3 linked regions of the Ovis aries genome follow. The protein of the gene in region 2 purifies or fractionates together with the protein of the main gene of each other region. This does not show direct contact. Links are inferred from orthologs where the notes say so. Each region holds a gene or a part of one and is shown on either strand. Other genes may lie near its edges.

Region 1 (3,648 bases), on a different chromosome or scaffold from region 2:
ACCCACCCAGCCCCCAGCCCAGCTCTCCCTCCACACCCCAGTGCAACACGCGCCGGGAAGGGCCGAGCCCGACCTGAGCCTCAGGAAGGGTGCGGAGTAAGGGGGGAGAGGCGGGGAGGAGCGCGTCCTGCGGGTGGGCAGGACACAGCCAAGGACAGGCCCAAGCCCGGGGCTGCCTCACACGGGGCTCTCGGGAGGCCAAAAACGTCCCTGTTTCCCAACCCCCAGCCCTGGCGGAGGGGGTCATCCTCAACCAGCCACAACACCCGGCCCCGCCCCAGCCCGCTCCCCCCCCAAATAACAACCAGAGGAAGAGAAAAAGGTGCCATTTACCGATGCCAGCCTTGCGGGTGTCCAAACCGAGCGGGATGGGGGGGGCTCGGCAACTCCTGGGGGCCTGGCGAGGAGGCGGGCTTCCCGGGGGGGGACACGGGACCGCTTACCTGGAGCCCCCAAGCTTACCTGAGCACGCGCACAGACCCCACACCCACCACCATGGGGTCAGCTAAAGCTACGGGGGAGGGAGCCAGGGGGTTCTAGGGAGCCCCCGGAGGGGCGAGGAACCACATCTCCTGTACCGCCTGGAGGCAGGCAGAGGAAGTGGTGGACCCCAAAGAAACCTCATGGAGGCCTTGAAGAGGAGGGAGACAGGGTTAACATAGAGCTTGGGAACTTGAAAGGACTATCTTGTTTGAATTCTACAAAGCGGCTAGGGAGGCCTTAGCAAACCTGTCCACCTTCAGCTTTTCCCCATAAAATCCACGCTCAGCTAGGCACAGGCCCCACCCCCTCAGCACATGGAATGACTTTTCCACCTTGAACTTCTCACTCCCTCCCACCATCTGCTTCAGCCCAAAGGCTGGCACACAAGGGGACAGCTTCGGGGGTCCAGGAGATGGGAGTACTGCCCATGATCCACGGGGAAGGGGCCGCTGGGCCCCTGAACCCAGAGGAGCGTAGTGGGGGCGGGATTTCAGGACTGGGGACACAGTCAAGCAAAGGACCCCTGCTCTGGTCATGTCCCAAACCCCAGAAGAGGCCCAACCCGGGAAGAACAGCAGAGAAAAATGTGACGTGTGTATCTCTAGGCTTCGCTCGCTCTCCCTCTCTTAGGTCTCCAGCCAGTGGAAGGGTTTTCAGTAAAAGCTCCAGCACCTTCAGCTGTTCACAGCCTGTCGCTCGACCCCTCCCACAGCAATCCCCAAGTCCATGCACTCTGGAGAGCAGCTGGGCTCCACAGCCTCTCGGGAGGCTCCACTGTGACAAGGCAGACAAGACATGAGCAGAGCACCCCGAGTCTAGCAACCAAAAAGACTCTCCAGGGCCACCACAGTGAGGGCCCGCAGAAGGGGCAGGGGCAGGGGCCAGGAGAGGAGGAAGGGCTGAAGGGTTCCACCAGGAGCCCTGGCCCTGCTGCGTTCCCACCGCCGTGCCGTGGCCGTTGGGAAGCCAGATATGCTGGGGGTTAAACCGAGGCCAACTGGAGTGGCCGGCTGCCTTTCCCATCGGGGAGCATCTCTCCCCTCCTGGGATCAGCAAGATTGTCAGAGAGCACCTGGATGGGGCCAGAAGGGACAGAGGGCACCCAAACAAGGAAAGGGCTCTGGGTGCGGGGAGGCGGAGGGGTGGCTGGGGGTGGGAGGAGGGAGGCCTCGCTGCTCCTGAGCTGCCTGGCTAAGCTGGGCTGGTGTGCGGTGCTGAGTGATCTTACCCATGATACAAACCCTTATACCAACCATACACTGAGGTGTTGTAAGGGGAGCGTAAGCATCAGCTGCAAGCCAGCTGCGTGGTGGCTGCAGTGACAATAAGAACAGTCAATTAATACGGCGGCCCCTGGACACGCCGCAGCCCTGCCCACCCCCGCCCGCCCAGCCCTGCCCATGTGGACGCCGCCGCGGCCTCAACGGGGGCTTTGGAGGTGTGGGGGCAGGCGCTGAACACGCAGACCAGCCCACTGCCCGCCGAGGAACAGGGTGAGGGCCAGGGGTGGGGAGGTGGAGGGTCGGGTGGCCCAGCCCCAGCTCAGCTGGGGGGAGGAGAGGGCAGGTTCAAAGGCCAGTCCTCACTGCAACCTGGCCGCCCCCAAATCTGCTGGGGGAAATGGGGAGAGGCTCCCCGAAAATCCGACCCCTCCCCCCACCTCCAACTAGCCCTAGCCCCCACCGGGTTCCCTCCTTGCCCCTGAGGTTCAACGTGTGACACTTACCTCCCCAGGTTCACACACACACACACACACACGTTGTGGGGGGTTTTGGTTTTTGTTTTTTAAAAAACACGTATATAAAAAACAAAAAAAAAAAGATATATCAGAAACAGAGGGAGGAGGAGAAGAGACATCGCTAATGTCAGGTCTGGCGGGGAGGGGGGGTAGGGGACAGACGACGGGAAGGGGCTGGGGCAGTAGAGAAGAGAGAGGGCCAGAGGGCAGGGTGCGGGGCGGCCACTCACAGTGCATGTCCCGCTCGTGTTCGTACTCGATGAAGGCATAGCCCCGGGGCTTTCCCGACCGCTTACTGTAGACCATGTGTATCTGGAGGGTGGGTGGCAGGAGGCAGAGGTCAATTCTGACAAGGGGACAACTCACCCTATCAATCACACAGCTCTGGGCTGGATGATGCCAGCAACAGATGCTTCTGACCCTCCCCCGGCCCCTTCAAGGACCCAGAGTGACTGATGCTCTAACGGCCTTGGGCTTAGCAAATGATGTGCACAATGACCTCAAGCCCTTGCTAGAGCCCAGAGCATCTGAGGAACTTCTAAACCAAATGAAGAAATGTCCGTTATACATGAAGCCGTGCTCTAGAACAAGAGTCAACATACACTTTCTACACAGAGCCAGAGAGCAGGCATTTCCAGCTTGCAGGGAGGGCCACCCAGTCCCTGTCGCACCTGCCTAACTGCCCTGCAGCAACAGCAGCTGCAGACAGTGAAGTGGGCCTGGCTAGATTACCAACGAACTTCACTCACTAAGTCTGCAGTTTGCTGACTTGTGCTCTAAATCAGCAGCAAGTAATCATGACCTCTTTGCCTTCCCTCCGCTATCCCGAGACTCCAGCATGGATGTGCGGGCAGGACAGAAACCCAGGCCGTGGCGTCTGAAGCCCGAAATGGCGCGGTGCCTCCTCCCTCCCTCCGCACACCTTCAACTCAAGCACCCCTGCTCTGGTCCACTCACCCTTTTGATGGGTCCATACACCTCAAACTCTCTCCGGAGCTTGGACTCTGTCGTGTCATAGTTCTACAGGGAGACAGAAAGAAAGTGAGAGAAGCCCTCAAACACCCCATGGACCGAGTCTACTGTCCACAGCCACGCTCTCCATAGCCTAGGGCGCCAGGGGTTGGGAGCTGGGGACTCACCACTCTAGCCACAAAGAGAGTCTTGAAGGCATCACCCTGAGCATTGGGATCATTGTGAGGGTCCCCTGTGCAGGATAAAAAAAATTCTGTAAGTAGTCATCAACAACACCACAGAGCAAGAAAGAGACTGATGGACACAGGCCCAGAGCTTCCGGTCGGCTACCATGGGCAGGCCCCTCTGAGCCCCGACTGCCCTGAAGCACAGCAGACCTCATCTGAGCGGCTGATTTAGGCTGATTAAAGGAAGGGATGAGACTGACTTCAAGCTGACAGGATGGCGGCCAGCCT
Region 2 (3,748 bases):
AACTGCTGATCTGAGCCAACCCTCACTATTCTCTATTTACACACTAAACCACAAATTACAAACCTTGAGTTCTGATCTTACCTAAATCCGTTATTTTTCCCTCACATTTCATCACCAATATGTATGGAAAATAAACACTATTCCTGTTAAGAGCTGTAAGGCACTGAATGCTAGATTGTGATTCTGAGTGATTCATTACTGAAAGACAATATGGAAGCAAAAAATAATCCCAATCCATGGCTTAGAAGGGCTTCCTGAAAGTCATCTCAATACTCTTCTTTTCAAAAGCCTATCCCATACTTATTCTTAAACATCCTTAGGAATGGAGATTTTATAAATTCTGTTGGTAATCCAGTCATGTGTTTATATCTCACTAATCTAATGTTCTTCATCTTTAATACTCAAAATAACTACCACAGTTATCAAAGACTGCCATATTCTTACTGTTATATAAAAGTGCTCAGTTACTTAAAAGCCCAGTAATTAAAAGGTACTGATATCTTACCAGGAGAACCAACAGCAATATGACACTTTTTAAGTCTGGTTTTGTCTTGTGATAATGGAGTCCCTCCAATAAACACATGACACTCTAACCCTTCCATTTTTATTCCAATAGCTGTGATAACAGAATGTATCTGTACAGCAATTTCTCTTGTAGGAGCCAAGATCAAAATCTAAAAACAAAACAAAACATAAAATATAACTTTAACAAGTCAGCAGAATAAATACAGAAGGTAGGACTCAAAAAGATAGCCCCAATGCCTGGCATAATTGTTTATAGATAACATGGGCAAATCATGTTATCTTTAACAAATCTTTGTCGAAGAAATCCCCAAACCCAAATCTCCTGTTAATTTGGGTAAAGCCATCTTAGACATACTCTGAGGGAATCTAGAAAATGGGAGATCAGTATAATACATTCACTGTAAGAACCACCTAGTTACCAACAACAGCCAAGCACCTCATTACCACAAATCAGGCAAAATGCTAACTCTCACCATAATCTGGTGAGCAAATAAAAGCATTAAAAAATCCCTATCTGTATTCTCAAGAAATGACAAAACTGACACACATGGCAGACTTGTTTAATTTAACATGTAGTAATAACAGAAATCTCTAAACTTCTATTTGGTCACTATCCCATCCATACCACCACCACTCAATAGCCTCAGTGTCTACTTTCCCCGTATACTTGTCATATGCCTCAAGGGGATCACTGAGGCATATGACAAGTATATTCACTTCTATCTCTGAGGAGCCACTGGTATTTCATCTGACGTGTAGTAAAATGCACATAACACACCTTCCTTTGGGTCATCTGAGCTAAACTCACCTGGGTACTTAGGTTCTCAAGAACAAGAGAGTCCAAAGCAATGGTGGAGAAGACACAGGTTTTCCCAGTTCCAGACTTAGCCTGAACAATTAAATCTGAGAAGAAAAAAAAGTTAGCTAGGACTGAAGAAACTTAGGTACCAATCCCAGAACTAGAAGGGTCTCCAGAGAGATCACATCGTTGGCACTTTGGTTTTTACCCTTAACTCTTAAAAAAGCATGAAGCCATGTCCAGAAACAGGCCTCCTCCCTGAACCCCTACCGTTTCTTTTCTTCTTTATGCTTAAGAACCAGAAGTTTGAAGTATGAAATCAAAGTATCAGTAGGGTCACATTCCCTCCAAAGGCTCTATGGTTATCAATACAATTCTTCCCTGTCTCTTCCAGCTTCTGATGGCTCAGACATTTTTTGGCGCGAAGCTGTGTAACTCCAATCTCTGGCTTTAATCACTGGATTTAGGGCCTACCCTAATCCAGGATGATCTCATCCGAGATCCTTACTACTGTTTACTTTTCTCAAACATAGACCTACTTGTCAGAGTGGAATGGACCTTAAGTATCTCCAAATTCAGTACTGCGCCTCGGTTTGACAGTGTAGGAAATAGAGGCTCGCGGAATGCGGTGTCGTGCCCCTGCAGGCAGCCGCCCTGGGCCCTTTCCGGCCCTCGCCATGGCTCGACACCCCCAGCCCCCGCGTCCCCCACTTTCGGCCCTCCTGGCCCCTCAGTGTCCCCTCCCTCACCGAGTCCACATCGCCCCAGCGGGATGGCCTTCAGCTGCACGGGCGACGGCCGCTCGAAGCCAACCGCCCGCAGGCCCTCCAGCACCGGGCGCGACAGCAGCAGCGACTCGAAGTCTGCCGGCTCCGCCAGCAGCACGTCCCCAGTGCGGGTCCGCGGGCCGCTGATGTCGTGAGCCGTCCGCAGGCTCCGCACCGGCCGGGAGGCTGGCTCCGGGGACGAGAACTGCGTGGCCACACGCTCCGCCGGCATAGCGGTCTCCACGGTCGCTAAGGCGGCCGGAGCTTCAAACGCAGCCGCCATGGTAGCCGCGCCGCCGGATCTCGCGGTACTTGGGGCGAGGCTGGGAGCCTGAGAGCGAGAAGAGGAAAAACTTTATTGGCAGTCTTCCCGCGAAGACACTGACACGCCAGGCCTCGAAAAGGAGGGGAAGTTGAAGGCTTAGAAACACTCGGAAACAGCTACAACAACAACAAAAATGTGACCAGAGGCTGGCGGGAAAAGGGAGGAGAGGAAAGCAAAGGCTACCGGCGTATCGCCGCCTGCGACCTGTAGAGGGCGCCGCGCGCTAGCGACGGGAGCACCGCCCCGCCCCAAGGCCCTCTGTGGGCGGGTCCGCCCCGCCCAGCGCCCAGAGTTGGCTGCCTCACAACGCTGTCTTTGTGACGCGTTCTGTGCGTCAAGCTCCTCGCCTCCGGGCCAGGACTCCGCGGTGGCCCCCTCCCTGTCCCCACCCTGTCTCGCCCCAACTCGCTGCCTTGTTCTGCGCTCTCAGAGAGCGCCCGGAATACAGCGAGACGGTTGAGCACGTTGCATAGTATATATGTCTGTGTGGTTTCCTCTTTGTGTCCCCAACCCCTAGCACCGTGCCTGGCACACGGTTAGCCCTGATAAAAGAAATCGGATAAGAACCAGCAACTGCACTGACAGCTCCCACATTCGTATCTCCACCTCCGACCTCTGAGCTCCACACTTGTACCTCCATCTCCTGTCTCAACACCTCCACTTCGATGTCTAACGTCAAATTTAACATTTTCTGTGTGTTGCTCCTATCCCTCCCCACCACCATCTCAAGAACAACTTTAGGTCTCAGCTCAAACATTACCTTTTCAAAGAAGACTTTCCTGAACACCCCGAGATAGCTCCCTCATCCTGGCAGCTCCCCAGCTTTTCTCATCACTCTATTCCCATGGTCTGGTTTATTTTTTTTCATGGTACTTATCACTAGCTGAAATCGTGTTTATTGTCTGTCCTCCCCACTCTATGACAGAGATCTATTCTCTCTTGTTCTCTTCAATATCCCTTGTTGGAAAAAAGCAATCTGACCCAGAGTAAGTGCTCAATATTTATTGAACAAATGAGTTCCTATAACAAAGTCTGAATCATAACTCCCAATGTTAATGTTTCTGGAACCTAATCTTACAATTCCAAATCTAAAGATAATTCTGCATCTAACCCCAACTTTTGCCTTTATCCTGATATCATAATTCTGGTCATTCTCTCTCACCAGTTTACACTTCCCCTCTCTCTCTCTCTGTCTCTCTTTCCCTCTCACACACGCACAATGATGATTCAGATTCCAAAAGAGGTAGGAGGAGTTTGGCTTGGTAATCTCATTGGGAAGGGGTCCTCAGATGCATTTTTCTTAGAAATTTATAAAACGCTAATTATCAACTG
Region 3 (3,648 bases), on a different chromosome or scaffold from region 2:
TTGCGTCTGTTTTAGAATATGTAATTTGTCTCTCCTTAAAGGAACAATGAACAGAAAGTATTTTGCAGCTGAGGGCCCGCACTCTGGCCCAAAACCACTTGTTTTCAGATTGCTCATGAAAGAGAACTGCTACTTGTTTTTCCTTCACAGAGGTGAACTGCTGCTATGGGATCTCACTCAGTCTTGGAGACGGAAATATACCCTCTTTAGTGGTTCATCAGAAGGGCAAAATCATTCAAGGATTGTGTTTAATTTATGTCCTCTGCAAACTGAAGAAGACAAACAGCTGCTGCTTTCCATATCAATGGACAGAGATGTAAGAACAGCTTATTCTGCATTCAGTACTGTATATTGGTGATTTATGACTTGGATAGGATTAGAGGACTTTTTCAGACTATCATCAGTTCTCACACCTCACCTCACCCCCAGGTTCCAATTTCAAAGTTACTGTTTCTGATTGGCATTAAATACATTAGCAGTAGAGGGAAGTAAAGGGAAGGGGAGGAACAACCAAGATGTCTTTTTGTTAAAGCAGATACGATAAGGAAGAGATGTGAGCATGAAAGGATGTGAGAGGTCATCATGGTTTAGCCTTAAAATATCCTTGTCTATATAGTTTAGGTAGCAGAATCATCTGCTCTTGGCAGAGTCTCTGTAAGAGAGAATTGGCTTTATCTGAGTAACCTTACTGTTTTTCAGTAATCAAAGCTTGTTTGATAGACTTTGTTTTCTCCCAAGTCACTGTGTTAATAAACAAGTGAAGATTAAAAACTTAGCACTCCTCGTCCAACGGAAATGATAACATATTTTGCTTTTTGAGATAAACTCTGATTCTTCCACTGTCCTAAGACCGTCATCTTTTTTCTTTACTTTTTTTTTGAGTTTACCAAATGAGATTATCAATGCTGTAATATTGTGGAAAGGCCAGTGGACTCTGGGAAATAGGAAGCCTGAGTTCTAGTGTATTGTGTGCCTTCAATTCACTTGGCATCTTAGGGGATAAATGTATTCCAAGATCCCTTTGAGCTCTACAGTTTACTGCCTTTTTTTTTTTCTAATTCCTTCTGGAATAGGTAAGTTACATTCTCCTGCTGCGCTCATTGAGCCCATTCTGTCTGAAACATTGATTGTTTTTCCCGTTTCTCCGATCTTCATAAAGACCCTAACCCTTAACCTTTTCAGGTAAAATGTTGGGACATGGCCACTCTGGAGTGCTGCTGGACCCTGCCTTCCCTCGGTGGGTTTGCCTACAGTCTGGCTTTCTCTCCTGTGGACACAGGCTGCTTAGCGATAGGCGTTGGGGATGGCATGATCCGCGTATGGAATACACTCTCCATAAAGAACAACTATGATGTGAAAAATTTTTGGCAAGGTGTCAAGTCCAAGGTTACAGCGGTAAGGATGCGTTCTTTGAACTTGCCATACACTGGTTTCAAATAACTAATTCTCTCTTAGAGAATACCTATTCACACAAATGAACTCTATAGGGAATTTACATTTCAGGAGTATTTTTGATGCAATTTGAAACTGGGAAAGCACAGGCACCCTCCCTAACCAAACGCATTACCTCCTAATTCAGAAATTTAGCTTTGTTTTGTGAAATTACATTTTTATTCAAGTCACCCTATTTTCTGATAGTAAGAAATTTAAAATAACCTGGATGTGCGTGCATTCATAGGAGGTACATTAAATTATAATATAACCACATGAGGAATAATAATGTTTGTGATTTTAAAAAAACCCACAGTACAGAAGTGTAGAAAGCAAAAATGTTCTCTTTTCCACCCTTGACTCTATTCTCCTGCTTCCATAATCCAAAGAATAATAGAATCATATTTTCTAAATTGTTCTGGAATCTTTTACTCCCCATCCAACAATGTATCACGAACATCATTTAAACATTTGATCCTATTTTTGTTTTTCAATTATATATAAAGTTTACTCACAAAAAATTTCTAGAAAGATACAGAACTGGTAGTGGGGTGGTTTGGATGGTGAAATTACAAGTGACTTTATTTTTAATACAATTTTTCTCTTAAATAATGAGAATTTGTTACTTTTAAAATTAGAAGACACCAAGAGCAGTAAGTGTTTCCAGCTGAATGCTGAAGTATAACTTAATGAATCCCTTAACAGTGCCCCTTCGTATTTCCTTGTAGCTGTGCTGGCACCCGACCAAGGAAGGCTGCTTAGCTTTTGGAACTGACGATGGAAAAGTGGGATTGTACGACACCTACTCCAACAAGTAAGAAATAGATGATCTTTATTTAGCCCATTGACCAAAATGTTAAGTGAGTTCATTTTGAGTTCATAGACCCAGATGTTTATCATAGTAAGACTGAGAATCATCTTTAAGATTCTGACTCTGAGACTGGGGCTTAGAATTCAGAATTTTATTTTTAAAACATTTTTTCAGGTTATTGTGATGGTTCAGCCCATCTGACCTGTGAACACCACTGAAGTTTTTTTTTTTCAGGAAAACATTTGCTTTTGTTTTCCCTCAACATTTTTTTACAAAAGTTTTCAGGCATCCAAGAATGTTAAGTTATACATAGGGGCTTCCCTGGTGGCTCAGATGGTAAAGAATCTGCTTGCAATGCAGGAGACCCAGGTTTGATCCCTGGTTGGGAAGATGCCCTGGAGAAGGAAATGGCTACCACTCCAGTATTGTTGAGTGTAGAATTCCATGGACAGAGGAGCCTGGCGGGCTACAGTCCATGAGGTCACAAAGAGTCAGACATGACTGAGCGGCTAACACTTTCACTTTCAAGAATGTTAAAAGCTTAGAATAAAGAACATCTCTGTTTCTTCCATTTTGAATTACCAGTTGTTAACATTTTGCCATACTTTTGGTACACTTAACAAAAATTAGCAGTAATCCATAACATGATGTAATATCCTGTGCATATACAAATTTCCTCAGTTGAGCCAAAAATGTTTTTCTAGCAATTTTTTTCAAACCTTTTTTTAATCAGGGGTCACACATTGTGTTTTTTAATGCCTCTTTAGCCTCTTCTTGTAGAATAGTCCCCCACTTCTTTCCGTAACACTGCCTTTTCAAATTGAAGATTCCAGATAAGTCGTTTCTAGCATATTCTACATTTTGGACTTGTCTAGTTAATTCTTTGTGGTGACTTGTAATTCAGTTCACTCTTTCCTGTATTTCCTATATTCCTTGTCTTCCCTGTATTGCCTATAAACTTTCTGGAACAGCACTGTGTCTTTAGTCACAGGTGGCTACTGAAGTGTGCTAAGTGTAGAATACACTTGAGAGTTCAAAAAAGAAAAGAATGTAAGATGCCTCAATATATATTTTAATTATATTTTAAAAGGTAATACTTTTTATACACTGAGCTGATTCCTAAAATTGAATTTCACTTGTTTCTGATACTTCTGTTAACATGGCTACCAGAAAGCTTTAAGTTGCAGATGGGGTTTGTATTTATGGCTCACAATATAAATCTATTGGACACAGCTATTCTGAGTGCTTGATTAGATTCCAAACCTGCACTGTTCAGTTTGGTAGCCACTGGCCACATGTGGCTACTTATGCTTAAAGTAATTAAAATTAAATAAATTAGAGATTGAGCTCCTAGTCACATGTGCCACACTGCCAGTGCTCAAGGGCCGTATCTGGCGAGTTCAGTT

What was found.
Region 1: the proteins of DDX20 (region 2) and SNRNP70 purify together in Homo sapiens (affinity purification with mass spectrometry; 4 studies listed by BioGRID and IntAct, counting the BioPlex papers as one, with this or other methods). This does not show direct contact. The link is inferred for Ovis aries from reciprocal best matches to the Homo sapiens genes DDX20 and SNRNP70.
Region 3: the proteins of DDX20 (region 2) and GEMIN5 purify together in Homo sapiens (affinity purification with western blotting; 6 studies listed by BioGRID and IntAct, counting the BioPlex papers as one, with this or other methods). This does not show direct contact. The link is inferred for Ovis aries from reciprocal best matches to the Homo sapiens genes DDX20 and GEMIN5.

The regions. Positions count from the first base shown.
Region 1 is NC_056067.1:55,351,488-55,355,135, reverse strand, and holds part of SNRNP70 (U1 small nuclear ribonucleoprotein 70 kDa), read right to left. Parts: intron 3,426-3,648; coding exon 3,361-3,425; intron 3,242-3,360; coding exon 3,179-3,241; intron 2,534-3,178; coding exon 2,452-2,533; intron 1-2,451. UniProt on the Homo sapiens protein: Component of the spliceosomal U1 snRNP, which is essential for recognition of the pre-mRNA 5' splice-site and the subsequent assembly of the spliceosome. SNRNP70 binds to the loop I region of U1-snRNA.
Region 2 is NC_056054.1:89,176,862-89,180,609, reverse strand, and holds the start of DDX20 (probable ATP-dependent RNA helicase DDX20), read right to left. Parts: upstream 2,397-3,748; 5' UTR 2,375-2,396; coding exon 2,074-2,374; intron 1,429-2,073; coding exon 1,334-1,428; intron 675-1,333; coding exon 506-674; intron 1-505.
Region 3 is NC_056058.1:63,875,169-63,878,816, reverse strand, and holds part of GEMIN5 (gem-associated protein 5), read left to right. Parts: intron 1-150; coding exon 151-316; intron 317-1,182; coding exon 1,183-1,395; intron 1,396-2,159; coding exon 2,160-2,245; intron 2,246-3,648. UniProt on the Homo sapiens protein: The SMN complex catalyzes the assembly of small nuclear ribonucleoproteins (snRNPs), the building blocks of the spliceosome, and thereby plays an important role in the splicing of cellular pre-mRNAs.